Lonchura striata: one gene and its partners. The protein of the gene in region 3 binds, or shares a complex with, the protein of the main gene of each other region. Links are inferred from orthologs where the notes say so. Each region holds a gene or a part of one and is shown on either strand. Other genes may lie near its edges. The genes, in order: DRC9, DRC8, DRC5 and DRC10.

Region 1 (7,943 bases), on a different chromosome or scaffold from region 3:
TACAGCCCAACCTGCAAGTATGCCAAGGAAACACATCAGGCACTCCCTGTTAGCATAAGACATGGCCATATTCTATGAATATTAAAGAGGTTTGGATGCAGCTGTGCTCTGCATCACTGGAAATCAGTGATATTTCACAAGCAAGTGTTTAAAAATATACATACTTGCTATAACCTCTCTGAAGCTGTTATAATTTGCCCTCCTCCTTTTTTTTGTTGTTTTTGTTGAAGAAAATCTGTAATTTACAGTTGGACCGTGAAGTTAATTTCACTTGGCAGAAAAGAACCACTTTTCAGTGCAGGTTTATTTGATGTCTGTTCGTATAGAATAGGTAAAACAAACAAATGTAACTCAGATTCCACACATTTATTTCCTGATGTCCCTGTCTGCTGCAGGAAGTCGTTTAATGCAACACATGTTGAAATGTGCTGAGAGAGGACATGGCTCTCCCTGGGGATGGGATTAGAAAGTGCACAGGGATTGCTCCCAGTAAATCCACAGGAAGGGCAGATACCAGGGAGAGACAGAGGTATTTAAGTTAAAGGATAATACTGCTCTGGGTAAAAGGAGAGTAAACGCCCCTAAGCCAGGCAATTATGATGAGGTTTCTAACTCCTGAATGGAAAATACAGAACAGCCTTTCAGCCAAGGTAATGGTAGAGGCACCCTAATTTATTTCAAGAAGCTTGATTAAATCATGGCAGAAAAAGATAACAGCAAAGTAGTGATTCTGAATATTATCAGTATGTTCACTAGACTTGTATTGTTTGTAACCACTTACATCTAATTCCTCTGAGCAGGGCTTTTAATGGTCACCTAGAATGAAGAGGAAAGTGATTTCATCCCTTTGCTTCTGAGATTTTTTTCTCTCTTTTATCTTAATTATAAAAAAAAAGTTTAACAGCTTGAGACAGGAATCTGATAAAAGCATTAACAAAAAAAAAAAAAAAAAAGAAAGGCAAATTATCTGTATAATACACTAAATCCATCACTTTTCTTGTCAACCTTGGAATCAGCTATAGAAGTGGAGATGCAGTATTTTTACATCAAGAAAGTCAGGCAGTGTCTCCAGTCAACAGGCACTAATAAAATATTTTTCAATGCTTTACTCATTTTTATCTTTTTCAGAAATCCATAATCCATATTTTGAATCTAAACAACCTAGGAATAATCTATTACATGTGGAGTCATAAAATATAACTAGTCTGCTAAAAATATGATGAAAAAAGATGTGTTGGGAGATAGCTGTGACATGATTACAGCAGGATTTTTGGAAGAAGAAATAACATGTGCAGCTCTCATAGGAAAAAGAGACTTATTTGGAAACAAAGGAGGATGCAACAGCTTTTCCTCTTTTCTGTCAGCAGCTTCTGACCAGGAGAGAATTAACTCAGGATATTAATATGTTTCAAGAAAGCTGGCGGCTGGAATGTTTCTCTAAAGCCCCTTTGCTGCTTTGCTCCTCCTGTGTATCTTCTCTTACATTCACATCCTTGCTCAGCAGATCCCTGTGCCAAGCCAGTGGGGTCTGGGCTTATGTTAAGTTGGACTTGAGAAGGAAACCACTGTCTGGGGCATTAGCAAACACTACAGATATGAGCTGCTTGCTGTGGATTTTAGTGCCAACACAGTGCCCCTCAGACCATCCACGGCATCACCCTGCATTGCTGTGTTTGCTGAACTCCCTCATTAAACTCTATTAATAATTTTTTTTAAAGTATGTGAAGGATTCAACTTCCCCCATGAGTTTTGGATGACATTCTTTCCCTGCTGATATAAAGGGAAAGAAAAACATATCAAGTAATAATTTTTAAAGCAAGTGTATAAAAGGTCTGGTCTCCTGTTCCTTTGGGGATTGCAACTTCCTCTGCTGTGTGAGAGTCCTGGATGTACATTTCTCCCACCCTGCTGCCTGATAAAGGAAAGTGGATTCAAAAGCAGCATTTTGTGCAGCATTCCTTGTAGTCAGAAGATACTTCATTGAATTCCAGTGATAAAATGCATAGCTGGCAATGTCACATCTCCTTTAGGTCTGTTTGGCAAATGACTGGCGAAGAGAGGTTCTGAATATCCACAGGAGCAGCAGCGGAGCCAGAAATCAACTTCATTTTTACCAAAGAAAAGTCTCTTGGGAAGCAAAATAGGTGTGGCCTTACCTTACACAGCTCTGCCTCCGGCTAGAAATATTAGGACAGCAAGGTGCTCATTTTGGAAAAAAAAAAAAAAAAGCGGGGGGGGGGGGGGAAGGGCAAGGAAAGGAGAGAGGAAGGGGAAGGGAAAGAAAGGGATGAAAAGAGAAGGAAAGGGAAAGGGAAAGGGAAAGGGAAAGGGAAAGGGAAAGGGAAAGGGAAAGGGAAAGGGAAAGGGAAAGGGACCACCAAGATTCCTTAAGGTTTCCCTTCCCTTCACCTTCCTTCCCTTAAATCACTTCAAGCGCTCTGAAAATGCACCAGAATTTCTGGCAGTGTGAGGGAAGTGACAGAAATCGGGATTGAATAGCCCTGACGTGAGCAAATGGGTAAGTACATGCTTCCAGATCTTATTTAGTAAAATAAAGGAATGTGAGACTTGGTTACAGGGATTTCAGTGTCGAAATATGTTTTCTGCCTCCAAGGCGATATCAGAAGTAAACTAAATGCCGAGATGATTAATTGACTCAGGGTGAGAACATCGGACGGGCAGGGCCGGCCGGGAGCCGCCCCGAGCACCAAGGGCTGCTCTCTCCTCCCGCGCTGCCTCTCTTCGGGCTCCGCGGCCCGTTTTCATTCGCCCTGCCTAGACCGACCCGGGCTCCCCTCAACCTCTCACCGGGATCTGCCCTTATTTCCCCCGATCCCGGTCCCGATCCCGGTCCCGGTCCCGATCCCGGTCCCGATCCCGATCCCGATCCCGGTCCCGATCCCGGTCCCGGTCCCGGTCCCGATCCCGGTCCCGATCCCGATCCCGGTCCCGGTCTCGGTCTCGGCCCCGCCCTCACCGGGACGCGCCGCTCGTCTCCATGGCAACCACCGCGCTCGGGGCCTCGCGGGGATGGCCCGCGGGTGCCTGTGCAGCGGGGCTGTGGCCGCCCCTCCTGGGATCGCTCTTGCGGGGATCGCGGACACGGGACACGGGACACGGGACAGGGGACACGGACAGGGGCCGGGCGGTACCTTCCTCAACCCGGTGCCGCTCACTCCGGCAGCGCTCGGGCCGCCCGCTCGGGTCCTGGCCGCGCATTTCCCGGCAGGCAGCGGGGCGCGGCTCTCTTTCGCCGCCATCTTGGGGCGCTGGGGGTGAGGCGGAGCGGGGCCGCGGCCGGGAGCGGGGCCGGGAGCAGGGCCGGGGGCGGTGCCCCCGCCGTAGGGCCGCCGGCGGGCGCGGGGCTCCCGGGGCGCGGCGGACGGCGCGGTTTGGGGCGGGGACAAGGCGGGATGGCGCCGATGCGCGGCGGATGGTCCCAGTGGCGGGTTGGGGCCCTGGGCTGGAGCGGGGCTGAGGCGGCTGCTGAGGTGCGGAGCGGAGGCTGCCGGGCAGCCCCCGGGTGCTCGGGGTCTCGCTGGCCGGGCCGGGTGGAGATGCCGGCCCGCGGCTCACGGCTGTGTGTCGTTTCCAGGCCTGCCGGGACCGGCTCTGCGGGAGGACGCCATGGCCGGGAGGTGAGTGAGGGCCGGGCTGGCGCTCGGCTCGCTGCTGCAGCGCTGTAGGAGCGTTCCTGGGAGCGTTTGCTCAGCAGGGCAGTGAGCGGTGTTGCGCTGCCCAGCGTCCTGCTGGGCCCTGTGGAACGCCCGCAGTTGTGTGTCCCTGCTCTGAAATCTCTTGAGCTGGTTCTAGTTGCTGTTACGGTGTGCCACGCTCTCCTTGGCCTGTCAGTAAATATCAGTGTGAAATTTGTGGGTTTGTTAGCTCAGTGTTTGTTAATCTCCAGTGTGCAGTGGAGCTTTGACATAAACTGTTTCCTTGAGTAAAGGGAGCAACATGTTTTTCCCATGGGTAAATTTTCTGTTGTGCTGCCGAATTTTCTTAAAGGATGTAGGGATTGAGTTCGTAAGTGAAGGGATTAAATGTGAATACTGTGGAGTTGCCTGGAGAAGCTGTGGCTGCCCCATCCCTGGAAGTGTTCAAGGTCGAGCTGGGTGGGACTCTTGAGCCTGATCTAGCGTGAGGTGTTCCTGCCTATGTAGGAGAGTCAAAACTGGATGGTCTTAAATGTCCCTTCCAACCCAAACCCTTCGATGGTTCTGTGAATCCCAGCTTTATGTCCTAACATTAATGTGTGGAGTTTGTCCTGTTGCACGTGTGGCAGGTAGAACTGGATATCCCAGTTGGATCCTGCTGTATCCCAGAGCAGGTGCTGGATGCCCCTGGGCCAGATGTGCTGTGGCTGCTCGGTGTGTGGGACAGGTCCTGTAATGACCTTACATGGGCAGTGCAGGTGTCCTGAAGAATTGCTGAGGAGTTTGTGTAATGTCTGTGCCCAGTGGATGTCAGGCTGTTGCTCTGGCTCCTCCTTTGAGGCTACAAATCAGGGTCAGTTCATACCTTCTATAGCAGTTACTGCAACACGGGAGATTTCATGTGGTGTGTAGAAAAAAAAGTAATGTTTACTCATCAGTGTTAGTAGACATTTAGAAATAATATCTGCTAATGCTGGAGTATTTGAATCTTAGTATGAAGCCAGTATTGTAGTGCCAGGAGTTTATGACAAGCAAAAAGTGTAATATTTTCATAAATACTTCAAGTTCCACATACTCAGCTTTGCTCTGTTCATTGATGTAAGTATTTGCAGTGATTTGTAAAAGTCAGCTATTTCCTCTGCTGATTTCTACTGGTGTGGAATTAGTTCCTGCTGAAAGAGCCTGTGATTAGTTTTTATTTTTGTTATTTGGAAGTGAGTTATAATTTTCAGGTATTTTCCATGTCTTTAGGTTGTGGTGCAAGGCCATTTTTGCTGGCTACAAACGTGGCCTCCGAAACCAGCGGGAGCACACGGCCCTTCTGAAAATTGAAGGTGTTTATGCCCGTCAGGAGACAGACTTCTACCTGGGCAAGAGGTGTGCCTATGTGTACAAAGCTAAAAAGTAAGTAATGTTGTATTCTTGTGCTGAACTAGCCAATGCTTGTGTTGGTTTTGTAAATGCTAGGAGATCATGATGCTACATGATATGTAAGAGAGCAAATGGGATGAGAAACAAGTTTTGCCTAAGACTGACAAAAACTGAAAGTTGGGTGATGGAGTAAATTGAAGTGGGTGAATTTGTGTTAAATACTTTGAACTGTTCAGTTACTTAAACAGTAGAGTGATTTTGTGAAGCCTGGGTGAATTTGTGTTCTGACTTTCATGTGCCCATGTTTGAGCACTGTCTGTCACTTCTGCTCTGCTGTCATTGATAGACACCTTGGGAACAGCTGCTTATTGCTTCCACTTCCTTTTTTTTTCTTGACTGCTGTTGTTAGTGTGCAGAATTATCTTGAATAAAATTGATCAAACTGGTATGTTAGCAAAAGTGTTTTCCAAATTTTTGAGCTTTGTAAGCTGTTAATAGTTGTCAAGCTGTAATTACACCTTTGAAAGGTACAGTGAAAATCCCAGGCTGGGAAAATATCACAAGTAAAAAAAAGTGGACATTGGTCTAGTTAAAGATGGCTGTGGAGCTAAATTATTGAAGTGCTGTAGAGAGACCACATTGTCAGTGCTGGGTACAGCAGAGCTGTGACTGCCCTGCTGAGCTGTTCTTGGGCTCCTTTTCCCCAGCAACACGGTAACCCCCGGAGGCAAACCCAACAGGACACGCGTGATCTGGGGGAAGGTGACCCGCGCGCATGGCAACAGTGGCATGGTGCGTGCCAAGTTCCGCTCCAACCTGCCTGCCAAGGCCATTGGACACAGAATCCGGGTGGTAAGTGGGTTTGGTTTAGCAACAAGATACTTATTGGCAGTTTTTGGGTGCCTTCTAAATTCCTTATAATATGAGGGAACATTTGAACTTTGCTTTTGTTCTGTTGCTGTTGGGTGTTCAGCATGGCTCAGTGACTTTGTTTTGGAGCCTAGAGAGGCTTTTTGCTGCCTTCCTGTGCTGAGGGGGTTTGTCTTGTTATCAGGGGTTTGTGTGCTTGCTCAGGTTGTGTGGAAAGGCTCTTAAAGTTCCAGGACTCGGCTCCTGTCTAAAGCTGCCTTGATTTCTTTTCCACCATCTGTTCTGCATATTTTTGCACCCTTCTACTCCTTTACCTGTTTGATTTTTCTCTTACTTCCCAAATGTTTTAACTGAGAGCAGTGCTGTCCTGTCATGGCCACTTCCACCTGTTCCCACTGTTGGTGTTTTAGCCACAGGGCTTCAGTGGGACTATCCGTTTAGGTCTCTCACCTAGAGTTGTGATGTAATATTTTCGTAGTGATGTTGTCAAAAGGAATACAAGAGGGGTGTGGTCCTTTCTGTCTTTCTCCTGTGCCTTAGAAAAAGCACAGTAGGAGCAGCACAGATAATTCCTGAAATCCAGAGCCATGGGAACTCTTGTTGGTGCACAGGAGGGCTAGTTGCCATGGTGTCTGTGTCACCAGTGAAGTGCTCCTGCAAGTCATTCTCACACCTCTTCTGTATAAACTGGGGATTGCTTTAATAGCAGTTGAAGAGATTCATGGTCTAGATTGTAACTGCAAAACTCATGTTTGAATACAAGATTTCTAACGTGATTCTGTCTGGTTTTGTGTTTTACAGATGCTGTATCCATCTAGGATCTAAATTTTTATTCAAAATAAAATGGAGACTCTGTTTAACTTTTGTATATTTCTGGTTTGATTGCCTCCACAAATTTTGAGAGACCTCTTTCTCAGTAGTATCAGAGTTGACAGCACAGACAGAGACACTAAATCCTGGCAGGTGCAAAGCCTCTCTCACATCAGTAGTTCTGGTAGAATCCCTGATAATGACCCCACCTGTACCTGGCCAGCACGTGTGCCTGTAGCGTCTGCTTTGTGTAAATAATTTAAACACATTTTCATTGCACGGCTCTGTGGTGCCCAAGTGTTAACGCTGTTTTCTTGGCCAGCCTTGTCCCAGCATGTCATGTAGGGCAGTGAGCATCTTCACAGCACTTCCTTTTAGTTTTGCTGAACAGTAAGGTGGTGAAAAATGAATTTACAGTCATGACATGCAAGGCTCAGTTTATCTCTGAAAATCCCCCCAAAATACTGGGTAGTTTAAAGGGAGGTTTGAGGCAGGTACAAGTTGTCATGGTTGCTGCTGATGTCACAGTCCCAAAATGACCTGTGGATATGCTGTGAGAGGAGTTCCACATAGACCAAGTAGTTCCATCATTTTCAGTGCATCCCTAGTCAGTCAGGCAGGTGAGTCTGTTGGCTCAACCGCATCCTGAGCCCACTCCAGTGCAGTCCCTCCTTCCCAGGGCATGAGAGCTTCCTTCGCCCTGCCTGGCCCTGCTGCCAGTGTGTGTCATGGAGCCCTCTGAGTGTTGGCTTTGCAATTCTCCTGTAGTGGGCTGGTATTTCACATCTAATCCTCTTCCTTCTGAAAGAGGTGGAGTAGATGTGTGTGCAGAATACACTATTGGGTAAATCAAAACTTTGAACTGGAATTAAAAAACTTGCCCCAGCTACTCAGCTCTGGTATAAAAATTATTTTGCTGGACTTAAAAGACCTAAGCCTGCTGCCAATGCTGTCCTTCAGAGCCTTTGCTATGGAAAATTGCATTTTTTCAACCTGTGTAGAAAAATTGCAGCTTATGGGATATTGGGCCATGTCAGGTAGGGCTTTTAGTCTTCCACAACTACCAATACATTGGACACATTGGATTCAAAAGAGGATGGATGGGATTTCCAGCTTTAGGTGTTACAGAGGAAGGAGGAGGAAATATAATGAGCAAAGTTAATTGTAAGTGCAGGTTTGTAGGCCTGTGGTCACTACCATATAGTTGGTTTGCTGATGAAAAGGTAGTAAGTCCTT
Region 2 (7,819 bases), about 1.8 Mb from region 3:
CCTCTCACTGTTTTTCCTTGTGTACATCATGTATATCTGTAAAACATTTAAGCAGGCATTTCAACTTTGACGAAGACTGAACTTGGAAATAATAGGACCTAAGGGAAACCTTTCCAGGAAAGCTGGTGGAATTGTAGTTCTGCAAAGCACCGAGCGGAATACCCTAAGGACTAATTATTTGACAATACAACTAATGGTATTATTTTGAAGCATAATAAAGTTAAACCTGCAGCTTGCATAGATGTGGAGTACTTGCTGAAGGGAAGCACAATCGATGTGTGAATCCAGCATTGGAGAATCCTAATTAACCCTCTAACTGCTATCAGCAGGAAGGCTAATAGCAATTCTGAAATGGTATAAGCGACTTAATCCTAAGGGATTGCTTCTGTTAATGAGACACTGACTGTTAGCTCTCCTCAGCCATGTTTACAGTAATGAGGCACCTTTGTAAGGCAATAAACAACTGTTTTACCTAATAGCAGGCTGGGATTCTCATGAGTGACAGAAGTTACTGTCTGAGTGACACAAGTTTTTGTCCTCATCCTACAGATAAGAAAAAGTCCAGTATGTCACTTCCCATGATCCACTGGTTGGGCCAGGGATGGAGTTTATGGGTCAAGGTCATTCAGGATGACGCTACAATTCTCCTCTAGAAGATGACATTTGATGCTCTACTGACATTAGTGTTTTATAGAATGTTAAAAAACATGAAGCATAAAAAACCCTCAAGGGAGTCTGTCTTTAGTAATATAATAATGAAACTTCTTACAAAGTATTCTCATTTTGAAACTACAAAAAGAAAGGCATTAAAAGTCTTTAACTGAGCAATCAAAAACCCATGACCTTCCTTCTCCTAGAGTTTCTGGCTGTGGCTCGACAAAATGGTAAAAATCTCAATATTATACATATGGGAACCCAAAATATAAGGAGCCAGGCTTCCCAGTACTACTTCCCTCATCTCAGATGATTCAGCAGACTTCTAGGCTATCATTTCTATCCTCCTCTGCCAGTACTGTGCCTCAGGTGCCTTTGCACCACTAGAAAGATGTAAAAGACAGGCTTCCACAAGATTAAACAAAAATTCTTAAAAATATTTTAAAAAACACTTTAAGAGCAGTGATCAAGGAAGCTACATCTTACTGTTTAATTTCTTTCTTCAAGATATCTATGTTGCAAAGTGCAGCTAGAAATACTTCTACAAAAATTAAATTAGTCATTTAGTACCATCCACGGCAACTGTTTATACAAGACTTTTCTGCAACATGCATTGTTTCCTAAAAATATTAAATATTCCATTGATTAATTATCTCAACTACAATGTTCAGACTTTGCAAACTACTGCAACACACACAAGTTTAGTTACAGAAAGGATGGATTTCAGAAGTAACAATATTGTGGGCTTTACAGAAAATATGTTTTCCTTGAAATGATACTTGAATATCCTTGAAGAAGGAATTACCTCTAGCCTATAAAATAGAATTTCTGGCAACACTCCCTAAAGTAGAACACAGTGGCCTCTAGAAATAAGCCATGGTGCTATCAGCAGCACAGATTACTTTTTTCTGTCAGAGAGTGCCCAATGCATCCAGAAACTACTGCGAAGGGCCACAATCAGCCAGCAGCAGGTTCAGCCATCCCAGCTGCCCTGGCAGCCACCCCATGCCATGACAAGGCAGTCAGCCTTGTCACCATCCAGCTTGGGCACACCCTGTGTGGTGGCAGCAACACCACAAGGCTGCCAGCACCAAGAGGCAGCTGTGGCACCCCTGTGGCAGGGAGTGCTGCAGAGTAGCCCCTACCCTGAGGCAAGAGGCAGTGGTGTGGCCACCCTGAATGGGATGGGAAGTCAGGGAATGCATCTTGTTTGTGTAAATATGCACGTGTGTGTTCTTTCATATACACGTATACACACACTCATGCACAATGTGTGCGAACAGATAGGTGCACATACATATCTAAAATCACAGAATGAGCTGAGCAGGAAGGAGTAAGGATCATCGAGTCCAACTCCTGGCCCTGCGCAGGATCACACCAAGGGCCTGAGAGTGCTGTCCCAGCACTTCTTGAGCTCTGTCAGGCTGGTGCTGTGACCACTTCACTGAGGAGCCTGTTCCAGTGCCCAGCCACTCTCTGCATGAAGGATTCTCGTGATACACAACCTAAACCTCCTCGTGATACACAACCTAAACCTCCTCGTGATACACAACCTAAACCTACCTTGGCACAACCTCAGGCCATTCCCTCGGCTCCTGCCACTGGACGCCAGAGGAAAGGTCTCGGTGTCTGCCCCTCCTCTTCCCCTCGTGAAGATGTCGAAGGCCGAAATACAAACACACACACGCACAAACCCGTGTGTGTGCGTGTGCGTGCGTGTGTGTGTGCGTGTGCACTTCAGTATGTATATCCGTGTCTGTGTCCCGCGGTGAGCGTCCCCCAGCACCAGCTCCGGCCAGAGCTCCCCGCGCCGCCGCCCCTCCCTCGCCCGAGCCCTGAGGCGGGCGGGCCTCACTCGGTGGCGCCCGGCCCGCGGTCTGTCCGCACACCCGCCATGGGGGAGCCCGGGCCCGGCCTTACCCCTGCCCTTCTCCTGCTCCGCCATGGGGGAGCCCGGGCCCGGCCTTACCCCTGCCCTTCTCCTGCTCCGCCATGGGGGAGCCCGGGCCCGGCCTTACCCCTGCCCTTCTCCTGCTCCGCCATGGGGGAGCCCGGGCCCGGCCTTACCCCTGCCCTTCTCCTGCTCCGCCATGGGGGAGCCCGGGCCCGGCCTTACCCCTGCCCTTCTCCTGCTCCGCCATGGCCGCGGCGCCGCGCTGTCGCCATGGCGCCGCGGCCGGGCCGGGCCCTCTCCTCGCACCGCCGGGCTGAGCGGGGGGAACGTGTCCGAGCCCCCGTTCCGCGCCCGCCGCCCTTGCAGACAGCGATCCAGCCAGCCCCTCAACCAGCGGCAAAGGACTCCCGTTTCTCTTAAAAATACAGCTTTCCCCAGCGATTGCGGAGATTTCCTTGCGTCTGAGCTTTAGAAAGTGAAAGAACGTTTTATTCTAAATGCCGTCACGCCAAAACAGCTAAAATATTCTGTCTTAGTGATATTAAATAAAACTCTGCGGTTTAAATTTAGCTGTGAGTTTTAGCAGACAGGCTTGCGATGCCTGGTTCTTCTGACTCTAAAACAACTGTGAAAGTAGAAAAAAATACAAAAATTAATATTCTGGCAAGATGCAACCATATATTCCTACAAAATAAATATTTATTAAATTCCTAGAGCTAAAACCCTGTCCTCACTACAGCAGGTGCTTGTTTGTCAGGTGTTCAGTTTTGCAAAGCCCACATGGATGACTCCTCCTCACACACTCAATTTCACCTCTCAAACAAAGAGTTAATGATGTTCTCAATATTCATGGAAGCCTGAAATTCACAAAAACACATGGAGCACAAATAGGGCTTCTTTGTTTATAAAAACGATCACTTTTTAATAATATTTTAACATTTGCTATTTGCCTTTCAGCCACTTATTTTTGCATTTTTTATTGAACATGGCTCAGAGTAAAGAGGATATAATAGATACCCAAGACAATACATCTTTATTCTGTTGGGAAAACAGCTGATTATGCTCTCTAACAAAGTTGATCCCTCTGAAAGGTTACCTACCGACTTGAGCAGTTTATTAAAGTAACTAAATATTTTAAACTACATGTTTGACTACAGGAGTACAGATTTGTTTCCTCTCAAATTGCTAACAGAAATTTTATAGAGAATAGCATAGCAGACTAATTTAGAGGATGCAGCAGCAGAAGAAAAAAACCTTTATCTTTCAGTCTTACAGGGGTCCTATTTCTTATTCCTTTAACCACTCCACAAAGAAAACTTGTCTTTCCTGATTATACACCTATGATGGTGAGTCAGTCACATGTTTGAAGCTGAAGAAAAGTGCAAACTACATTGTTTTGGCAAGGATGGACCTCTCTTATCTCTTTCTTCACCTATCTCAAATGTAGAATTTCATGTTCTTGAATACTGTACCCAGCATTAGATTTCTTTTATTATTTTCCAGATCATTCATCATAGGATACTTATAGCTCTTCTACAAATGCGACACTAATTCAAAGTATTTAATACACAACCCTAAAAAAACCTTCATAAAATCCTGTTCCTGTTGTTTGAGTTTTCATGACAAATCCATGCCCAAAATATGAAAAACTCTTAGTTTTAAAATAAATACAATATTGCATATTGCATATTTATTGAGATTATTGCATGTTCATAGTAGATTTTGAATGGAAGTGAGTCACTGCAACTGTGACATGGTAAGACAGTAACTGCACTTGGGCATCCACCTCTAACATCTTCCCAGCAATTTCTCCAGGGCTTGCACTTGGCTTTCCTCACAACTCCTTCCTCTTTGACAGGCACTAATCTTTGTTTCCTCCAAGAGGGATGGTAAGAAAGCAGTGTGTAAATGCTGATGAAGAAAGGGGAAATCATGAAGTGTACCACAGCTATGACATGTCATTTACATCACAACATCTATGTCCTGTTGCAGCCACTGACTGGCCCTCATGAGCTGTTAGAATAGCTCCTTGGGGAAGGTGTTGTTGGAAGTATAGAACTGCTCAAACCCTGGATGTTCATATCAAACTTGTTAAGTTTTATAACTTTAGCCTAGCTGCAGAATCTTCACTGTCTCAGAGCTCATACAAATTTCAACAAACAGCATTTTGCACTGTCCTGCCTGTGCTGTTGAGATTCCACTCAGGACAATTACTGTAAATCAAAGTGCTTCATTTGCATTGTCCACTCTAGCCTGGAGTTTCCTTTTTTTTCCCAGTAGTTTGCAGTCAACCATCCTTATTCTCCCAATTCCTAGCACATCAGGCTTTGGTGTCTTTCCTGTCTCCAGAAGCAGAACAAAATACTGAGTGGGAAAGCAGTTCAAAATGAGAACTCACTGCTTTAAAATTTCCTGGCAATGTATCTTGAAAAATCTGTGTAGGGAAAAAATGTTAACAATTATAATGCAGATCAAATACCTCATATATGGACCTGAACCATATAGCTGTTTCCCTTTTAACTTAATGCACAGATACCTCAAACCAAGGGTATGAGTGGGCTGAAACAACTAATCACATTTTGGCACAGACAAGTACAAAATGAAACCCAGAACTACTAATTCAACAGCTTGAAATATCAGCTGCTGCATGCAAGATCTTTACAGAGCTCCTCTGAAGAGAACATACCCTTTTAAAATTGTGATTCTTCATTTTAAAAATGTCAGAAGATATCTCAGGAAAATTATAAAATAATCCAGCATCATTGATTTAAAGCGTGAATCCACTGAAGTCTCATAGACATAAGGTTCCCTTACCTCCACTCCTAATTTCATCCCATACATTCTTCTCAGCTATCAGGGTCCTATCACACATTTTGCATATTTTCCATGCATATGTTCAGAAATGTTATTCAGAAAAAAAAAAAAAAAAAAAAAAAAAAAAAAAAAAAAAAAAAAAAACAGGTCTAAAATGGAAGAAGTGACATTAAGAGAGAGCAGTTCAAGGAGGTATAATAACAAAAAGCTACAAAGCTGTATCCCCTCATGGCTTCAGGGCTGCAAGCATCTCAGCACATCTTTGCTCCAAACATTTGCCAAACATCTTCACTATAGGACACCCTCTGTGGGTCCTTGAGGATCATGTAAGTGAAGGCACAAAGAAGCCTACTCATTTATCCTTCACAGAGAAAGTAGGTGGGTAATTATGATTTTCTGGCAGGACTCTTACCTATAGTTCCTCTGCAGCTAAAGGGGTACAGCTGTGCTGTTCAGCAGGCATTTCCATGTCACTGTACCCTTTTTCACCAATGTGACATGAATGACCCAAGTGTACCTTCATTCCACTCTTCCCCTGGGATGAGCAGTGGACTCCAGTGACTCAGAAACAGACTCTTCAAAACAGAGTATTAGCTAAACACTAGCTGTTCACGCAAATGATACACAGTAACCAGATAAAAATGAGAAAAAGACTCTGTCATTCCTCGCCTATACTGTATCTTTCCCTACAGAATTTAGGTAAATTACATGAGAGCACTACCTCGTTTCATGTGTAGGAGGGGAAGACAGTTTCTCCTCCGGCTTGTTCTCTTTGTAACTGCAGGCTTTGATCCCATGCTTGGAGCAGATGAAGAGAAGCCTAACAGAGCAGGCAGAGACAGATATACAGACGTGCCCTCCATTATTTCCTGACCTCTTCCAAGCTGCTGGTATATTCATATTAACCTTATCTGTCATAATTTTGCTTTCTTTCAAAAAAATTGTTATTCCTGTTCTCACCTACAAAACAGCAAAAGGTTCATAAATTGTACATAAAAGTGCATAAATTGGCATAATTTGCTGTACTTTTTATACAGGTAATAAACCTAGCAGCCCAAAATCTGACCTCTTAAATAAAATGTCAGCGTATGTATGATTCCTTGACACTGTATACAGAGTTCACCAGTGCTAAAAGGGAGGGATCCAAGTCTAGCCCTTCCTTCCCTCCTGCTGGCTGCACATCTTCCTTCTACCTTGTGCTGGCTCTGCCATTCACTGAGTGCAAATATGAGTCACAGAGGTAGTAAAAATACAATCCATCAAAAAGTGAATAGTGTTCTGTCCTCTTAAGACACCCAGAAAAGGATCTGACAAGCATCTTGATCAGCATATCCAGTGTTTTATTTTGTTTTCCTGCCTTTCCCTCAGTGCCAATCTCCCTGAAAATGCTCGGTCACTTCCCCGTCCCCTCCCTGGTACCCTGTCCATCACTCGGCTCCCCATCCCATTCTTCCCGAATCTTCTACCCTGGGCATCGTGGGATTGGATGAGGGTCCGGGGTCCCTCCCTTAAGTTTCCCCCATTGGTTTTTGTATCTGTCTATCCTTTCACCGTCCACGCCCCCAAATCCCCCCATTGGTCAATGGGCGTTCCCTTCCCCTTGTTACCGCCCCGGTCTTTAAGATGTTGGGAAAGCCTCGAGGCCACTTTTGGCTGCACAATGCTCTGCAGCTCCGAGCTCCCCGGAGCCTGGATTAAAACTGAAACTGTCTCCCCAGCCTTGAGTCGACTCCCCCAAACAAGGCAGACAGTGAAACTTTTTGCCTCAGCCGCTCCCCGACTCTCCTCGAGATCCAGGGGGGTGACCCCCGGCTGCTGACTGTGCCTCTGCCGGGCAGGGGAAGCCAGGGGGATTCAGATTAGTACAGCGGCAATCCAGGAAGATGGACCCTGCAATTAGAAGAGAGGAAGAAATAGAGGGGAAGGCAGGAAGGGTTAGATGTTTTTTTGGAGGGAAAAAGCTCAGAGGCTTTCTGAGTCCATAAGTAAAACACTGAAGGAAGAAAGGGAAAATCAGGTTTGAAGGCTGCTGATAATAGCAGCATCTCAAACCCTTCTCAGACCATGGGATGGCTTTGGAACTGTCCTGGCAAATATCTCTTACTGCTCACGAACAGCTACAATCCTATGGATCTTTAGCTCCTCCTGTCCAGCTTCAACAAAGCTGCACTTGAAGAAAAGTGACTGAACACACATTAAAAATGAGTTGCTAGGAGAAAGGAAGCATTTCTTTACTGCAGCAATATTCTTCAATGTCAAGGAGCTGCTGGCAGTGCTCGGCCTCTGGGACTATGCCTAAAGACCTGCAACAGAAAAAAGTTCTTTCTTTTATGTCTAAGTGCCAGGATACTGTTCCCCGTCCAACCCAGGCACAGAAATGGCCCTAGAGATCCCTATATTTTAACCTTCAGACTTTATTACCATTAATTATATCTGGAAGTGAAGCCAGGATCCCCA
Region 3 (7,412 bases):
TATTTCCTGGCACAAGGTTGTGCCTTTCACCTCTGCCTTCCCAGCTCATGGTGCTTCTGCCATCTGCCAGCACTTCCTTCTCCCTGAAAGCTTTGGAGCTGACTTTGCTAGTGTTACTCCCTCTGCTCCTTCCCCTTCCAAAAGGCATATGAGGAAGGGCTGCAAAAGAAGGAAGAGAGGAGACCTGTGAAATGCTGAAGTAGAGAAGAGAGAAGCAAATGATTAATGCTGCAAATATGTCAGCAAAAGCTTTTTCAAATGCACTTGAGGCAAGCCTGAGAGGGATAGTCAGGAAAGGGTGGGGATGGCAGTGGCAGGGCATTCTCTGGCCCAAAGCAGGAGGATGAAGGTTGCCAAGGGCAGGGAAGCTGATTTCTTGGGAGGCAGTAGTGTACAGATGACAAAGGTAAAGGCTGATAAAAAAGGGAACATGATCTGATGAAGGGTGGAAGTGGAAAGAGAAGGAATGAGTGTTAGGCAGCTGTGAGAATACTGGGAATTCTTTCCCTGCAAAGGTCCTTGTGCCTAAGGAAGGTGCTATGATGATGGACCACCTTTCAAGGGGAAAAGAAGAGACCTGATTCTCCACAGCACACTGACCCATCTGAGACCCAACTCCTGGTGCTCGACGGACTTCCATGGAAGGGCAAAACACAGCTAGAAGGCAGTGAGGTGGCTGGGAAAATTATTTTCTCCTTGCTTGGTCCTTTGTCCTATTCAAAAAGCATCTGTATCATTTTGTTCCCCAGGCCAATCACAGCTGATTGGAGCTTCTGATGGCTTTCCTGACCTTTTGGAAACAATCATTAAAAGCCAGCTGTTGGGGAGAGCCGTGCAGCACTGGTGGCCTAGTATTATTTCCTGTCTGTTCCAGCAGATGATGGGATTGCCTGGTTACCGATGGCAGGTTGATTTTCAGAGGGTGGGTAACCCATGGCACATGCAGGGCTGTCAAATGGGCTCCAAGAGTCTGGGCAGGAGACACATCTGCCCTGAGGCAGAGCTACCCAGGCTGCTGAGAGGCTTTCCCTTGATCTGAGCCCCAGAGCAAGTCAGCTCAGCTGACTCCACCATGCCCACTTACCATTCACTACAAAGCAAACAGGAACAAGGCTGCAAAGCATCCAAATGAACCCCATGCCTGTAGTGCCAGGTCTGACCCTGAATCACTGCTCCAAATACATCCATTCCCACCACACCAGTGAGGTGAACACACCTGCCAGGTGCCCTTACTACCAGGGAAGGGCCTCCTTCACTGCTCACCCCCTCTGCCTCAGCTGTGGGAGCCTCACCCAGCCAGAGATGAGACTCTAAGCCACTTTCCAGAGCTGGGTTTGCTAAGCATGTATTTAAACACAGAGGTAGCGCCATAATTCACTATCAATAAACCAAGTCAACACTGTTAATGCACGCTCCTTCCCACCCACTCTACATAAACATCAATCACCTATCCTAAAAAGGTTTTATTAGACAATACAGAATGAACAGAGACATGTAGCAAATTTTCTGTTTTTGTCATTTAACACCCAGATTAGACTGAAAAGTAAATAATGCTTGAACTTCTTAAAAAAGTAAAGGAAATCACACTTCCCTTCCCCAGGAGGAACTGACAGAAATCTACTCACACAACCAAATTATGCTGCTACTAACATACTTTACAAACGTTATTCAGCTAAACCTGTCTTGATCTGGAAATAAAAGATTTTTGCTCTTTTCATTCACAACAAATCCCAGAGAGACCAAAAAAAAAACCAAAAAAAAACCCAAAAAACAAACAAAAAAAACCCAAAAAACAAACAAAAAAAACCCCAACAAACAAACAAACAAACAAACAAACAAAAAAACCAAAAAAACAAACAAACAAAAAAAAAACACCAAAAAGACCTGCACAGCAACTAGTGACCTTTGGCTGATGCTCCTACCAGAATTACAGAGATCCAAGAAATGGAACAACAGTAAACACTGTGCTTACTGGAGAGTTTGTAAGAGCAGGATAAATTATTTCTGAGGGTGGTTATGCCCCAGCCAAGATTGCATTTGCACTGAAGTTCTGTCTGCCCACTAATTGAGGAAGCTCTTATGCCACTGCAGCAGCACCCTGCAAATGCCAGTTGTTCTGCAGGTGTGCTGACCTTAATGCCTTTACCTGTAGTCCAGGCAAGTCATCCTGAGTCTGGCTAACACCGCTGTTCCCACCAACACCTGTGGGGACTTGCCATGCTCTGTGGCACTTTCAAAGGCTAATGCTAAATGTGCATTAGGATACTGTGTTGCAGGGTAAGTCTGGGCCTGCAACACAGTATCCTAATCCTAAACCTGCAATGGGCTCTGAGTTAAAAAAAAAAAAAAAAAAAAAAAAAAGTGCCAAATGAGAAATCTATTTAGCTTCAGATATAATGAAATTTGTCTGTAACGGGAGACTGGGCAGAGTGAGGCCAGCTGGCCATTTGGGAATTTGGTTAATGTCTCCACTGTAATCCTGGCGGTGAAGGGCCAAAACTGTGCTCCTGCATCTCTGTCAGCATGACCTGTGACGGGCCACCGCCCTAATCTCAGAAAAACAAAAGCCCTTTTGGAGCTGAGCAGTGCCCACCGCAGCCCCTCTGCCGTGCCAGCCCCAGAGGCTCGGAGAGGGGTCCCTTCCCCAGGGGGGCAAGGAGAACGCCTGGGTGCTGCTGACCGCCGCGGCCCCGCCAGCGCCTCCAGCCCAGCTCCGCGGGATGCCGGCCCTGCGCTCCCTCCTGCCAGCCAATCTCCTCTCCGGAGAGCCCGGGAGGGACGGGAACGCATCGGCGCGGCCGCCTCGGTGCGGGTCAGACCTGCGAGCCGCCGGGAAGGGCCCGGTCACGGGCGCTGGGCGTCCCCAGCCCCGGCCACGCCGAGCGGCACCGGGGCGAGAGACGCGCGGGGTCCCTCTCGACGCCTGGGCGCGGGGGATTCCGCTGCCGGCTCTGTCCCGCTGCTGCGGAGCAGGGAACGGAGCGGGACCGGGACCAGCCCGGCCCCTGCGCTCGCCGCCGCCGCTGTCGCCACGGACGCGGCCGTTGCTGGGGCGGGGCTCCCGCGGGTGCGACCCCCGGCCGGGCACGCGTGGGGCTCGTGGGGAGCCCGTGCCCGTCGCGCTGAGGGTTCGCGACCGGCTCCGAGCCAAGCCCTCGCAAGGCGCGGTGCCCCGCGGCCGCTCTCACGGGGCCTGCCCGCTGCCAGGGCGTGCGGGGCAGCGAGAAGCAGCAGGAAGGGAGAGGGACGGGATTTGGGATGGCGCTCCCCCGTCACCCCGCCCCGTGCGGCCGCTGAGAGTGAGTGCCGTGGTGAGGAGGAGCCCTCTCTTCGGCACACACGGAGGAGATGTGTGAGCTCACCACCACGCTCCACGGGTGCTGGGGAGGGAACATTTGCCCAAGTCCCGGACACCCTTGCGGCAACAGCAGCAGCTGCTGTGGCAATCACGGAAAGAACCGGGCAAGGGGTGCAATGCAAATGGTTTTGTACCAGTCAGTATTCAAAGGGTGAATACGTCGCTATCCTCAAGATACCCGTTTCCTTGCATGTTTGTATGGCTAAAGGTACGCTGCCTGTGCCCAAAGTGGGCTTGCTTCAAGGCCTCATATTTTGGGGCAAAATGACATCACAGGCAGGTCTGAGGGGGAGGAAAGCAAATCTGAGAACTCCACTGATGGCAAGATCTTGGTCCATCTGCTGCAAACCTCAACCTGTTCGTTTTTCATTCTGCTGTTAAGCATCCTCTACAGAGGTGGGGAAAGACCAGAATCTTCATCAAGACACACATCATGCTGTGGAGTATAAAGAGTAAACAAGGGGATGAAAACATGCATCTCCTCTTTCCCATTTCTCAGATCTAAGTGTTGCAGTATTTGCCAGGGCATTTCCAGCCTGAGACAGGTTTTTCTTTCACTCCTTTGGAATGCTGATGTACTGGGCACAAGAGGACTGCAGCTAGCCTGTGCCCTGTGGGAGCATACATAACACTGGTGCCAGCTCTCATGATAGTCCTGCAAGTCCCATAATAGCTGGCAGTTTTAGGAAGCTGTGCTGACTTTCATATAAAATTTACCTCCTGGTCATGAAGAAGATGTTAAAAGCATGATCCCAGATCACCCTAAAGGCTCAGCAACAAAACAATAAATGCAAAGAGGCATAGATTTAAAAAAAGAGAATCAAGACCCTGAGGCTTCCTTAGTGAATTTCAAAGATGTAAAGTTAGACCTTGGCAGCAATGTACTTCTTTTTCTAGGTGTGGCCTGATTCTGTCACTCAGCTCCCCAGAAGACAGTGACACTGCCTGTGAGTCAAGCTGGTGTTCAGCACAGTGGGGTAGTCAGAAGGCTTGCAAAGCCCTTCACAAATGCTGGCCTCACACTGACCATATTACTCCTGGGAACACATCTCCAGGGCTTTTGAGACCTTGAAAAGCAGAAATGAGAGCAACATAAAGCCAGGGATATTTTCTCTTGCACTGATTTCCATGCATACATTTGGTCAGACTCCTAAATTGCAAAGGAGATAGCCAAACCAGATCCACAGAAATAGCACCCCTGAGTTACCTGCATAACAATGATCAATTTCTGAGCTGAGCCTTCAGCAAGCCATCAACACTGAAGTTTTCAGCCCACCTAATGGCTAATATAATGCAAATGTCATGTTTTGGAGACTTCACAGTCCAATGGAGTTCAGCTGTGTCTACCCAGTCATTGATTCCCAGAGACAACAGTGCTCAATATTGCAGTCAGTTGTCAAAATAGATGCAATCAGATATTGGATCATATGCTGAAAAGAAGTAGTGGCAGTCCAAAAAATAGCTGTGTTAACTCCTTCTGTACCTTAGCATTTATTTCCAGTGGGAAATGTAGACATTAGTGCTGTTCCCAGTGGGGTGTGCAGTGGCAGTTGCTCCTTAAATTCTGTGGAGTAGGGATGCAGGGTAAAATATTGCATCCATTTCCATTCCCATCCCCACTGTTGACAGTTGAGAATGAGGATGAAGGAAGGTACTGCTTCCTGGCCCTAGTGACGAAAGTCCTACCAGCAGACTCCAGGTGCCCTCTGTATCCCTCCAGCTACCAGGTCTCAGATTTCCCCTAGACAGCACCTGTGATGGTGTTGTGCATAATCAGCTCTGCCAGCTTTGCCTGGAGTTGGAGGACAGTGTATCACAACAAAGAGAGTGGACAGGAGCCAGGTCCTGCAGTGTCTTGTGTGGGAGGAACACATCCCACAGGGTATCTTCTGCTGCTAATGTGAAGATTCAGGTGCTGTTCTGGAAACAAAGCTGTGGCTGTAGGGCGACAACCTTTTTTAGTGTCCCAGCATGATGGACTAGAAACATGATCCTCCCTGGCTTTGCCCAGGCACCAACACATCCTGCAGCCAAGCATTTCTCCTCTCCCTCTCAATCTCTCTCTCCCTCTCCTTCTCTCCAGTTACACCAGCACCAGCTGTCTCTTCAGGGATTTCAGGAACACATCTGGTGATCTTTCTGCCCGCAGCAAGTAGCAAGCTGTTTGTATGCAGTGGCAGCTGGAGGTAGAAGGAGTGAAAAAACCCCACGTGTCCTCCTGGTCAGTTCTGCTAGTGCATCTCCTGCAGCCTGCAGTGTCCTCACATCATAACACAATGGCTGGAAGTCACCACACCAGTCCAGGATATCATTTCATTTGAGTCCTGTGTTCCATGTGGGGCAGCCTCTCTAGCTGATGCCTGCAGCGAGGCAACCTCCATCTGTCAGATGTGGTTCATGTCTCCGTGGGGAAGAACCATGGACACAGCTGAAGGACAGGCTGGAGAGGAGCCTCTTGTTTGATGTCCCTCTGACACCAAAGGGATTCATTAGGGTATGAGCCAGCGAGGTTTGTCCTCGGCACTAGTGCAGTCCTCTTTCATTAATGGCTTCTACCCTTTCAATGAGGAGCACTGAAAGTTGCCAAAACTGGGCACGACTCAGAAAATTGAGGATGCTGAGGAGCAGGGAATGGCTCCAAAGCTCTATTTCCAGGCCCTCCTCTGGCTGGCTCCCTGCAGCTTTTGCTGGAAAACACTGCTTACAAGCAGCCAGCAGCTCCTGGAGTCCTGGGGGAAGAAGCAAAACAAATTACATCCTGGAAGGAGGAAAATTGCCCCTGTACAGCCAGTGCTGAAGGATGGGGGAGCAGAATGCTCTCTGTGCTGCTGCTTTCCCAAAGCTTTCTGCTCTCCCTGGGTTGCGGCAGGAACCATGCAGCTGCTGACAGCTATTAATAGATGGGGAGAACGTGGGCTCTTTTTCCTACTGCTTCCTGGGATGAATGGTAATTACCCTTAATGAGACTGGATTTGGTTCTACCTCCTACCTTCCAGCCTCCTTGCCTGCACTGGCAGGGAGAGACCAGCCCATCTGCTGCCTGCACTGGCTCTGTGGGGAGCAGAGCTTGACAGCAGGAGTGGAGGCTCATCTCCCCATGCCATCCCACAGGCCTTGCTTGTGGATGCTGGGCACAGGGCAGGAGGCAGAGCCTGCCAGCTGACAGGCTGCAGCAGCTCCCTTCAGCCTGGCCTTTCCAGTGGCACACAGGTGCCCTGTGGGGGGTGAGGTAAATGATCCCACCACAGGCTGAGAGTGCAGCTGGCTTGGATGCTCTCTCTTTGAGTTTAATTAAAGAAACAAAACAGAGGAACAAATAATCAGGGAATCTGTCCTGTTGCTATGATTGGCATCCCCATCATCATGCATCACACCAAGATTTGTGAAAAGGGGTATCCTTCCTCTCTTGCTGGTGCAAAACCAGTCCCAGAATATTCCTGGACTTGGTCCCCATCTTCCACAGGGCACAGTCTAGCTGCCATAGGGTTAATCAGGATATGACCTGCACAAGTGAGATGGTTTTGTTCTCACACCACTGCGCCTCTGGCTTGAACTCTGAAGCAGGAAGGTTTCCTTCATTCTCGTTACTTCAAAAATACTGCATAAATAGTGCAGGAGTTTTTCTTCATCCACTGGGAGGCTGTGCCTCCTAGGAATTACCTCCAAGTAGATGGATGCAAATGTTAAATCTTTCTTGTACATCCCAGACTCTGGCTGTGGGGCAGGATATCCTCTGCATTAGTGTTTGTCTAAGGTGCTTGGTAAGGCTGCACTTCACAACCCCACCTCTGTGCTGTCCTACCCATCTGGACAGCCACAGTGCCTCAAGGACTATACCACTCCCTGAAAACTTGGTTCAGCTTAGCAGCTGGTAACACTTTCCACCATGGGAACCCCCTCCCTTCACTGACCTTTGCCATTTTGCATTAGGGCAAGAGGTAAAAGGCTGCCCCATTTGTCAAGCTGAACTTCAGTTTATTTGCCTCTATATTTTCTTGACTGAATCAAAAACCTTCCTGCAGGCAGGATCTGTGATCTGTGGTCAGGCACCTAC
Region 4 (7,597 bases), on a different chromosome or scaffold from region 3:
TGGGAGGCTTCCTTATCCTCTTTTTGCTGCTTTTCCCCTTCCTTCATGATCAGCTGGATGTTAGCCTTGCAGTTCTTGGCCATATCTTCCATGCTGGTTTTGAGGTTTTCGATTGTTTTGTCCTTCCTGCTAACCTAGTCCGGAAAACAAGAGGATTACCTTTGGGAAACGCCCCTGAGGCATAAGGTGGACAGGAGAAGAAAAAACATTGCAAAGCTGGAGGAGATCCAAGAAGGGACCTTCAGGGGCTGGCTCAGGTAGCGCCAAGGCCCTGCCACTGCTGGCTGAGGGAGTGAAGCTCCAGATTCATACTGGAGCTTTGGAAACCTGGCTCCTCTGGGAACCTGTTGGTAAAGGCACAGAGTGAACAAACCATCCCAAGCCCCACTGGCACAGCGACCTGAGGAGCAGCCAAAACAGTTTCCCTGGAGTAGCTCTGTGGCTCCCTCAAGAGCTGGATCAGGCTCTGAGTGACTGTCTGGGGGATACAGCTCAGGGAGGGAAATCCCAAGCTGGGATCAGTGAAACAGATTTATTCACCATGTCCCAAACAAGCTGCCAAATTGCACATAAAAATCTCGATCCCCAGAACTCCAAGCAGCAGAGGGAAAGGGGAAAGCAGGTCCTTGGTTCTGCCAGCAGTGAGTGCAGGGCAAAATCTTCTCAGCCAACCCCTCTTGCAGGGAGGAGAAAAAAAAACCCAGGTAGAAAACAAAGGATTGTTATCAGAAGCTCTTGGCTTGGCACACAAGTTGAGAAAGTGCCTGGGAAGTGCCCAGTCAATTATCTGTACCTCAGCTGCAGATAAAATTAAAGATTAATGTAATTTGTATAATCACTGATTAATCACAAATGCTCCAAGGCAGCTGTTAAGAGTCTGGAGTCACAGAAATGTTGGCTTTAAGCAAGAGTGAAGACAGAGCAAATATTAAAAATGGATTTTAATCAGAGAAATCTCTCCCAGTAATGATTTTTCATTCTTTCAGCAGCAGGGAATGAAGCAGCTGGCATTGTCACCCTGCCAGGATACCACCACCACAGCAGTTTGTGCCTGTCCTGCCACTCCTCTGGAACTCAGGCACTTACATTGTTTAAGTTGGCTGGTGACAACAGGTTCAAAACATGCCAAATTCGAGTTTAAAAAAAAATAATCAAGCATGAAATAAGCATTTTTCTTATATTTTACAACAAAAATATTATTTTTAAATTTTAATCTGGTTTAGAAAGGATTTCTGGAACTTGCTCTTTAGGAACTGCAATAAAGGGATTGGTTTATAGTTAGCAAGGTTTTGCTCCAGTAAAAAGCAAGTTTCCACTTGGTTGGAAAACACATTCCCACAAGGTCATACCTCCTCATCTCGAGTCTGGATGACTCCTGCCAGCTCTCCCTGTAGAGCTGAGATTGTTTCTGTGTTTTTCTCAACCTGGAGGGAAATGTCTTTCATGAATTGCATCTTTTCCTTCTCTTCATCAGGAGTGGTCAGGAGCCTCTCGAGTGTGAAATCCCGGAACTCCTTAAAGGCTTTGATAAACACATCAGTTGGTGCCTCTCTCACCCGAACTTCGTATTTCAGCCCATGGTAAAGCAAGGGGTTGGCTAGGAAGAGCCTCAGGATGTTTCTTAGGGAACATTTCAGGCGTTGTTCTGCAGCTTTTATGCTCTTCTCATCTCCAGGGCTGGTGAGCAGGTGCTGTATTTCCATTGAAAGCTTCTGGTGCTCCAAAAGGCGGCTTGTGATCTCAGGTCCCAGCATCCCAGCATACCTCTCCAGGGAGCCAGTAATCTGTGGGATCAACCTGGTGATCTCCAGCTTGACAATGGCCTCATCCAAGACAGTTAGGATTCTTTCTGTCTCCGTGCTATCAGGTTTTAGCTGGCGTGGATCTAACACCTTCATGAAACCTAATGGGATCCCTGCCTTCCTTGGAGTTGCCATGCCTTCACCAAGGCTTCTTGTTTCATGAGGATACTTGGAATGCAGCTGGATCCCCTGATGCCATGGATTCAGTTAAACACTAGTGGTCTGGGTGGTCTGAGGTCTAGAAAGGACACAGCAGCTCTTACACAAGGTTAGACTCTGGAAGAAAATGGAGGTTCCTGTGCTGCTGCTGTCACAGTCGCCCTTCTTTGATTTTCTCTCTAAAAGGAAAAGATAGTGACAACATTAGAGAAATGATGTAATTTGGGAAAACATGAGAGTCTGAGATTAACCTGATGTTCTCTCTGAGTCTGGGTAGGGGGTCAGGACATGGAGTTGTGGATTAGAGCTGGTCTCTGTCCCAGAGCAGCTGTCAAACACCCATGGGAAGGGGGTGATGGATTCCTGGCTTTGAAGGGTGGGGAGGGAGGGGAAGCGCCCAACAGCTTCTGAGGTAGAGCAGCACAAACTGCAGCTCTGCTGTCCCCAGAGGGGTGTGGAGAGGGTTTGGAGAGCCCTGGGGCCACCCCGGAGGGAAGGGTAGGGTTCCCAGTGGGAAATCTCTATGGGAAACCTCTACCCTTCTAGGCCTGTCCCTGTCAGAGGGAGGAGGTGGGAGAGGGGATCTGGCAGGACTGGCAGGGACAGAGGCAAGAGGAGGAGGGACGGAGGAGATGGGGACAGCTGTAGCAGGCGGCCAACAGGGAATGAAGGGTCCCCCGGTGTGGATGTGGGGCAGCAGGAGGATCCAGAGACTGGGGAACAGTCAGAGGTCGGGGCGGTGATTCCCGGTGGGGAGGACCCCCGTGCGAGGGCGGGCGGCTGGGGACCGGTGCGGGAGGATCCGGGGATCTGTGGGACCAGCGGCCCTGAGCATCCCGCGGTGGGACGGGGTGTCTCAAGAGGCGGTTACTGGGGGATGCCGGCCCCAGGCGTCCTCCACCCCCTGCAGCGCACTCAGTTCCGATCCCGATCCCGATCCCGATCCCGGTCCCGGTCCCGGTCCCGGTCCCGGTCCCGATCCCGAGCCCGCCGTCTGCGCCTCCCGTTGCCAGGCGACGCGAGGGGGCGGGGCCTCCCCGGCGCCGTGCAGGCCCCGCCCCCTGTCGTTTGATTGGCAGTGCCGCTGTCCAATGAGGAGCCCTGCGGCGGTGACTGGCAGGGCTCGGGGTCTGTCATGGCGCCGGCGGGGTCTGTGAGGCGTGAGGGGGCGGCTCCTTCCCTCCGGGCTGCCCAGATCTGTGTTCCCGAGAGCACGACGAGTAACCCGAAAATAAACTTTATCCTGCCGAGGTCACGTCTGCCGCGCGCGGGTCAGCCCAATGTATGTCCAGGAGCCCCTAAGGGGTTGTTTTGAAACATTAGAACACAACAGAGTTCCCCTAAGCTGCGCTGTTAATGTGGCTGGTTTTACTGGGCCATAAAAGTGATAATGAGCCTCAGCTGATGAAGATGCTGATATTGTACAGGCTGACTTAATTGCTAACCTGTGACTTGCTGACGTCGGCAAAGAACATGATGGCCCTTGAATGCTGCGCTCCACCGTGCCTTTGAAGTGATAGGCAGAATAAAGCTTCAGAAAATTGCATTTTCTTATGCCCTTTGTACCATGTCAGAAGTTTCTTAAGTAAAAAGTTAAAATTTAACACATAACTCTACAAGCTAGAATATAAATACTTAATTCATTACGTTAACTCAAGTGAACTCTAAAAGTTTCACCTTCAGCCCAGGCAGTGTCATGGATGCCCTCAGGAGAAGAGGGTTTGGTTTCCAGCAGGAAACATGGCAAAATGCTGAACTCCAGGCCACGCTCGCAGCGATGCTCTGTCCCTCGCAGGACACCACGGCGGCGGGGTGGCCATGCCCTCACAGGCAGCCTTGTCCCAGGTCCCAGCCTTACCTGGCCTGAGCAGCTCCTTTATTGCTGTGCAAGGAGTGTCCAAGTCCAGGAATAATTCCGCTCGCCCATTCCCAACTGCTTCCCTACACAAAGCAAATGAGGGACTGGTGATGGGAGATGTAGTGGGACCACCAGGGCTGGGCCTTCTGGTGTGGCACTGGTGAGGATGGATGAGGGCACACTTGGCCTTCCTGCCCACCTGGACACATCTGGCACCATTTCCAGCCCCCCCAAGTAATTTTCCTCCAGGCTTATTACCTGGAGCAGTCACCTCCATGTGGGTTCCCTCTGCCCTGAGTGGCTCAGCCAAAGGACTGATTCGAATCAAGAATGGCACTGAGTGTGACAGTGACTCTGGGTCTGGGTCCACCCCAAGCTGGGGCATGCCCAGCCCACTGTGGGAAGGAGGGGCAGCTGGAACTGTGAGTCTGAGCCAGGCTGCCCCGTAGCCTCCAGGAAAAGCACTGACCTGCCCAGGAAGACCTTCTCAAGCTCTAATTCAGCAACTGGGATCACACTGGATCTAAATGCAGAAGATCCGTGATTTCCTGGCTGCGCTATGACCGAGAGCAGAGCAGAGCTGTGATCTGAGGCTCCAGAGGGGTGTGCTGTCAGTTGGATGTGTCCTCACAGAGCACATCACATAACAGAGAACAGCCCTTGAGACATGGAGAACTGCTGCTTGTCTTGACAAGGCCTCCAGAAGGGATCCCTGACCCTCCCTGAAAGGCTGCCACATGTGCTGCAGATATTTTGGAATTAAATCCATCACAAAAAGAATGTCTTTTCAAAGTTGAGGAGTGTCCTGATTGCTTTGTTTGAAATGTGCTACTGCTCTCCAAGAAGTGCAGACTTGGACTTCCTGACAGCCATGAGCTGGAGATGGCATCAACTGGCCAGTGACTGTCACCAGAGTCCCCTGTGTCTGGTGTGCACAGCCTGCTTGAAGGGACAGCAAGGCTTTGTGACATCCAGGGAAAGAGGAAGGAAAGGGGTGGAGCCGTGGGTCACATCCGAACATCCTCTAAAGTCGGGAAGACTGGATCACTGCTGCTCCCTCCTGGATCTGGGTAATTAAGACATTCCCGTCTTGCAGGAGGAGATGGGGGTGATGACACATGTCCAGAGCAGCCTTGACTCGTCCTGCAGCTCCACACTGCTCCAGGCCAGCAGCAGCTCTTCAGCCAGGAAGAAAACTGGGTCACTTTGGGAGCTGGATGAAGCATCACCGAACCTGCGTCAATCCCACCTCATCCAGGATGCAGAACAACCTCAGATCTATCCTCAAACAATTCTCTGCACTCAAGCCCACAAGATTGCATCACTGCCTGAGCCAGAGGTACCCAAGAATCCAAATTATGTGGGGCATGTCCGAGCAGGGAAGGGAGAGCCGGGAGCCCCTGGGACAGCCTGGGCACGCTGTCCCCCACAGACTGAGTCCAGCTGTGTTCCAACAGCAGGACTCTGTGATAGATACCTGAAGGCCAGAGACTTCCCTGGCCCCAGCTGGCCTCGCCCACCACCCAAACCCCTCTCCAGGTGTTGTATCCCTCTCCTCTGCAGCAAAGGGAAGCACAGCTCAGAGCGTGGGAGCTGGATGGTCCATCTGCTTGGAAAACCAGGATCCACCCCAGCCTGGTTTGCCCAATTAATTTCCCTGTTCCTGCTGCCACCCATCCCTGTGTGAGACCAGGGAAGGGACATTGAGGAGGGGGATGATTTGAACTGATTGTGAAATGATAGTGAAAGGGCAGAAGCACACAATGAAGCCTTGCTGCAGGCAACAGCACCCCATCCTGTCACTGCAAGGACAGTCCCGTCTTGCCACAGTCCTTTGGCTGTAGCCTTACATTGTGCTCTGCTGGCAGCATGGAGCTCTGGCATCACACCAAGCCCTGGAGGACTCCACTGGGACAACTGATCCCTGACCACATCCCTGCTGCAGCTTTGGCTGCTGTTCCCTCATTCCCATGTCATGCTGTCAGTGGGATGATGGCATCTGTATCCTGAACAGCTGGGAAGGAGTTTGCACTTCCCTGGCCCCCAGAGACTGTCAGGAAGGCCCAGGCAGGGCACAGAGAAACCAGGGAGTCCCTGCAGTACAAAGGGACAAGGGTGCTGGGGTTGGTGTAAGCTCTGAACTAAAGGACCCAACAGGAAAAATGGGAGGGTTGGAGGTGCTGGGTTGGCTCTGAGTGCAGCAGGCTGGAGCTGGGTGACAGGAGCAGGAATGCAGAGGAACGCAGCTGTGGCACAGGAAAATGTCCCTGGGGCTGTCAGGGCACTGAGACCAGAGTGTGTGAGTTTGGTCCTAATCTGTCTGCTGAGGCCAAACCTCAAATCCTGTGTCCAGTTCTGGGCCCTTTATGACAAGAGAGGCCTGGAGGGGCTGGAGAGTGTCCAGGGCAGGGAACAGAGCTGGGAAGGGGCTGGAGCCCCAGGAGAGGCTGAGGGAGCTGGGAAGGGGCTGGAGCCCCAGGAGAGGCTGAGGGAGCTGGGAAGGGGCTCAGCCTGGAGAAAAGGAGGCTCAGGGGGGACCTTGTGGCTCTGCACAGCTCCTGACAGGAGGGGACAGCCGGGGGGTCGGGCTCTGCTCCAGGGAACAGGGACAGGAGGAGAGGGAACGGCCTCAGGCTGGGCCAGGGGAGGCTCAGGGTGGATTTTGGGAACATTTCTTTCATGGAAAGAAAGGGTGGTCAGGGTGGCACAGCTGCCCAGGGCAGTGGTGGATCCGCATCCCTGCAGGGATTCAGCAGCCATGTGGATATGGCAGCTGGGGACAGGGGTCAGTGGTGTCCTTGGCAGTGCTGGGAGAATGGCTGGATTGCTCTCAGAGGGCTTTTCCAACTTTAATGATTCTGTGATGCCGTGAGTCTGCAGCAAGTCACAGCCTCACAGCCTCCATCTCCCAGGTGAAAGCCAGCTGCTTCCTGCCTCTGCCGAGTGGGAGGTGGCAAGGAGAGGGCAAAGGGGGACAGGCATCACCCAGGCTTGAGGCTCTTCATGCCAGGCTGCTGCTGCATGCCAGGGCTGGCTGTCCATGGGAATGCTGGCACCAAAGACAGCACCGAGCTGGGAGACCGAAGAGGCTGGTGACAGGCTCCTCCCAGCACGGGAGGACTGGGAGGGGCTCAGAGGGGCTGAGCTCGGTACCCTCCACACAGAGTAGTTCTGTTAGAGCCCTGCAGCCCCTCTGCCTCCACGGCAAGGACGAGAACACATCCCCCCCTCCCCCTGGGTGCTGCTGCGTGCCAGGAGCCACCTGGGGACCACCACTCCCCGGTGGTGCTCTTTGGTTACAAACCACTCCTTTCCCCACAGCATCTTCCCACAGAGAAAACCCCAGGGGTGGCCAGCATGGGTCACCCCTAGGTGACAACCTCCAGGCTCTTCTCTAAAAACTTCTGACACTCTTTGCTTTTCAGCATTCCTTTTTTGTTCATCTTAATCCATCTCTTGGGTTTCAGTCACCAAGCCAGCTGGTGCAGGTGGACACCAGCCTGGCACTGGTTCCTGCACGACCAGAGATGTTCCCTGTCTCTCCTGTCCAGCAGCTGTCACAGTGAATCATGGAATGGTTTGGGTTGGAAGGGACCTTAAAGATCATCCAGTTCATCTGGTGAACAGGCAAATCCTCATTTTCCTGGACAAACCCAGCAGGCAAAAACTGAGATCAAGAAGGAAGGGTCTGTCCATGGAGAGGAAAGGAAGCAGGGCAGATTTATCACAGGTGGGAGGAGGACAAGAACATACTTAAATACTCTGAAAAAGCAAGACT

The links.
Region 1: DRC5 (region 3) and DRC9 share a complex: the UniProt entries of both Homo sapiens proteins name them as parts of the nexin-dynein regulatory complex. The link is inferred for Lonchura striata from reciprocal best matches to the Homo sapiens genes DRC5 and DRC9.
Region 2: DRC5 (region 3) and DRC8 share a complex: the UniProt entries of both Homo sapiens proteins name them as parts of the nexin-dynein regulatory complex. The link is inferred for Lonchura striata from reciprocal best matches to the Homo sapiens genes DRC5 and DRC8.
Region 4: DRC5 (region 3) and DRC10 share a complex: the UniProt entries of both Homo sapiens proteins name them as parts of the nexin-dynein regulatory complex. The link is inferred for Lonchura striata from reciprocal best matches to the Homo sapiens genes DRC5 and DRC10.

What each region holds. Positions count from the first base shown.
Region 1 is NC_134612.1:17,894,496-17,902,438, forward strand, and holds the start of DRC9 (dynein regulatory complex protein 9), read right to left. Parts: upstream 3,001-7,943; coding exon 2,978-3,000; intron 817-2,977; exon of another isoform or gene 782-816; intron 1-781. Other genes in the region: RPL35A (large ribosomal subunit protein eL33), read left to right, coding at 3,628-3,638, 4,908-5,060, 5,735-5,879, 6,699-6,722. UniProt on the Homo sapiens protein: Component of the nexin-dynein regulatory complex (N-DRC), a key regulator of ciliary/flagellar motility which maintains the alignment and integrity of the distal axoneme and regulates microtubule sliding in motile axonemes.
Region 2 is NC_134605.1:31,772,290-31,780,108, reverse strand, and holds the start of DRC8 (dynein regulatory complex protein 8), read right to left. Parts: upstream 3,005-7,819; 5' UTR 2,796-3,004; coding exon 2,771-2,795; intron 2,645-2,770; exon of another isoform or gene 2,600-2,644; coding exon of another isoform or gene 2,575-2,599; intron 1-2,574. UniProt on the Homo sapiens protein: Component of the nexin-dynein regulatory complex (N-DRC), a key regulator of ciliary/flagellar motility which maintains the alignment and integrity of the distal axoneme and regulates microtubule sliding in motile axonemes.
Region 3 is NC_134605.1:29,952,866-29,960,277, reverse strand, and holds the start of DRC5 (dynein regulatory complex subunit 5), read right to left. Parts: upstream 3,013-7,412; 5' UTR 2,820-3,012; intron 1-2,819. UniProt on the Homo sapiens protein: Component of the nexin-dynein regulatory complex (N-DRC) a key regulator of ciliary/flagellar motility which maintains the alignment and integrity of the distal axoneme and regulates microtubule sliding in motile axonemes.
Region 4 is NC_134620.1:2,573,137-2,580,733, forward strand, and holds the start of DRC10 (dynein regulatory complex protein 10), read right to left. Parts: upstream 3,003-7,597; 5' UTR 1,938-3,002; coding exon 1,350-1,937; intron 135-1,349; coding exon 1-134. UniProt on the Homo sapiens protein: Component of the nexin-dynein regulatory complex (N-DRC), a key regulator of ciliary/flagellar motility which maintains the alignment and integrity of the distal axoneme and regulates microtubule sliding in motile axonemes.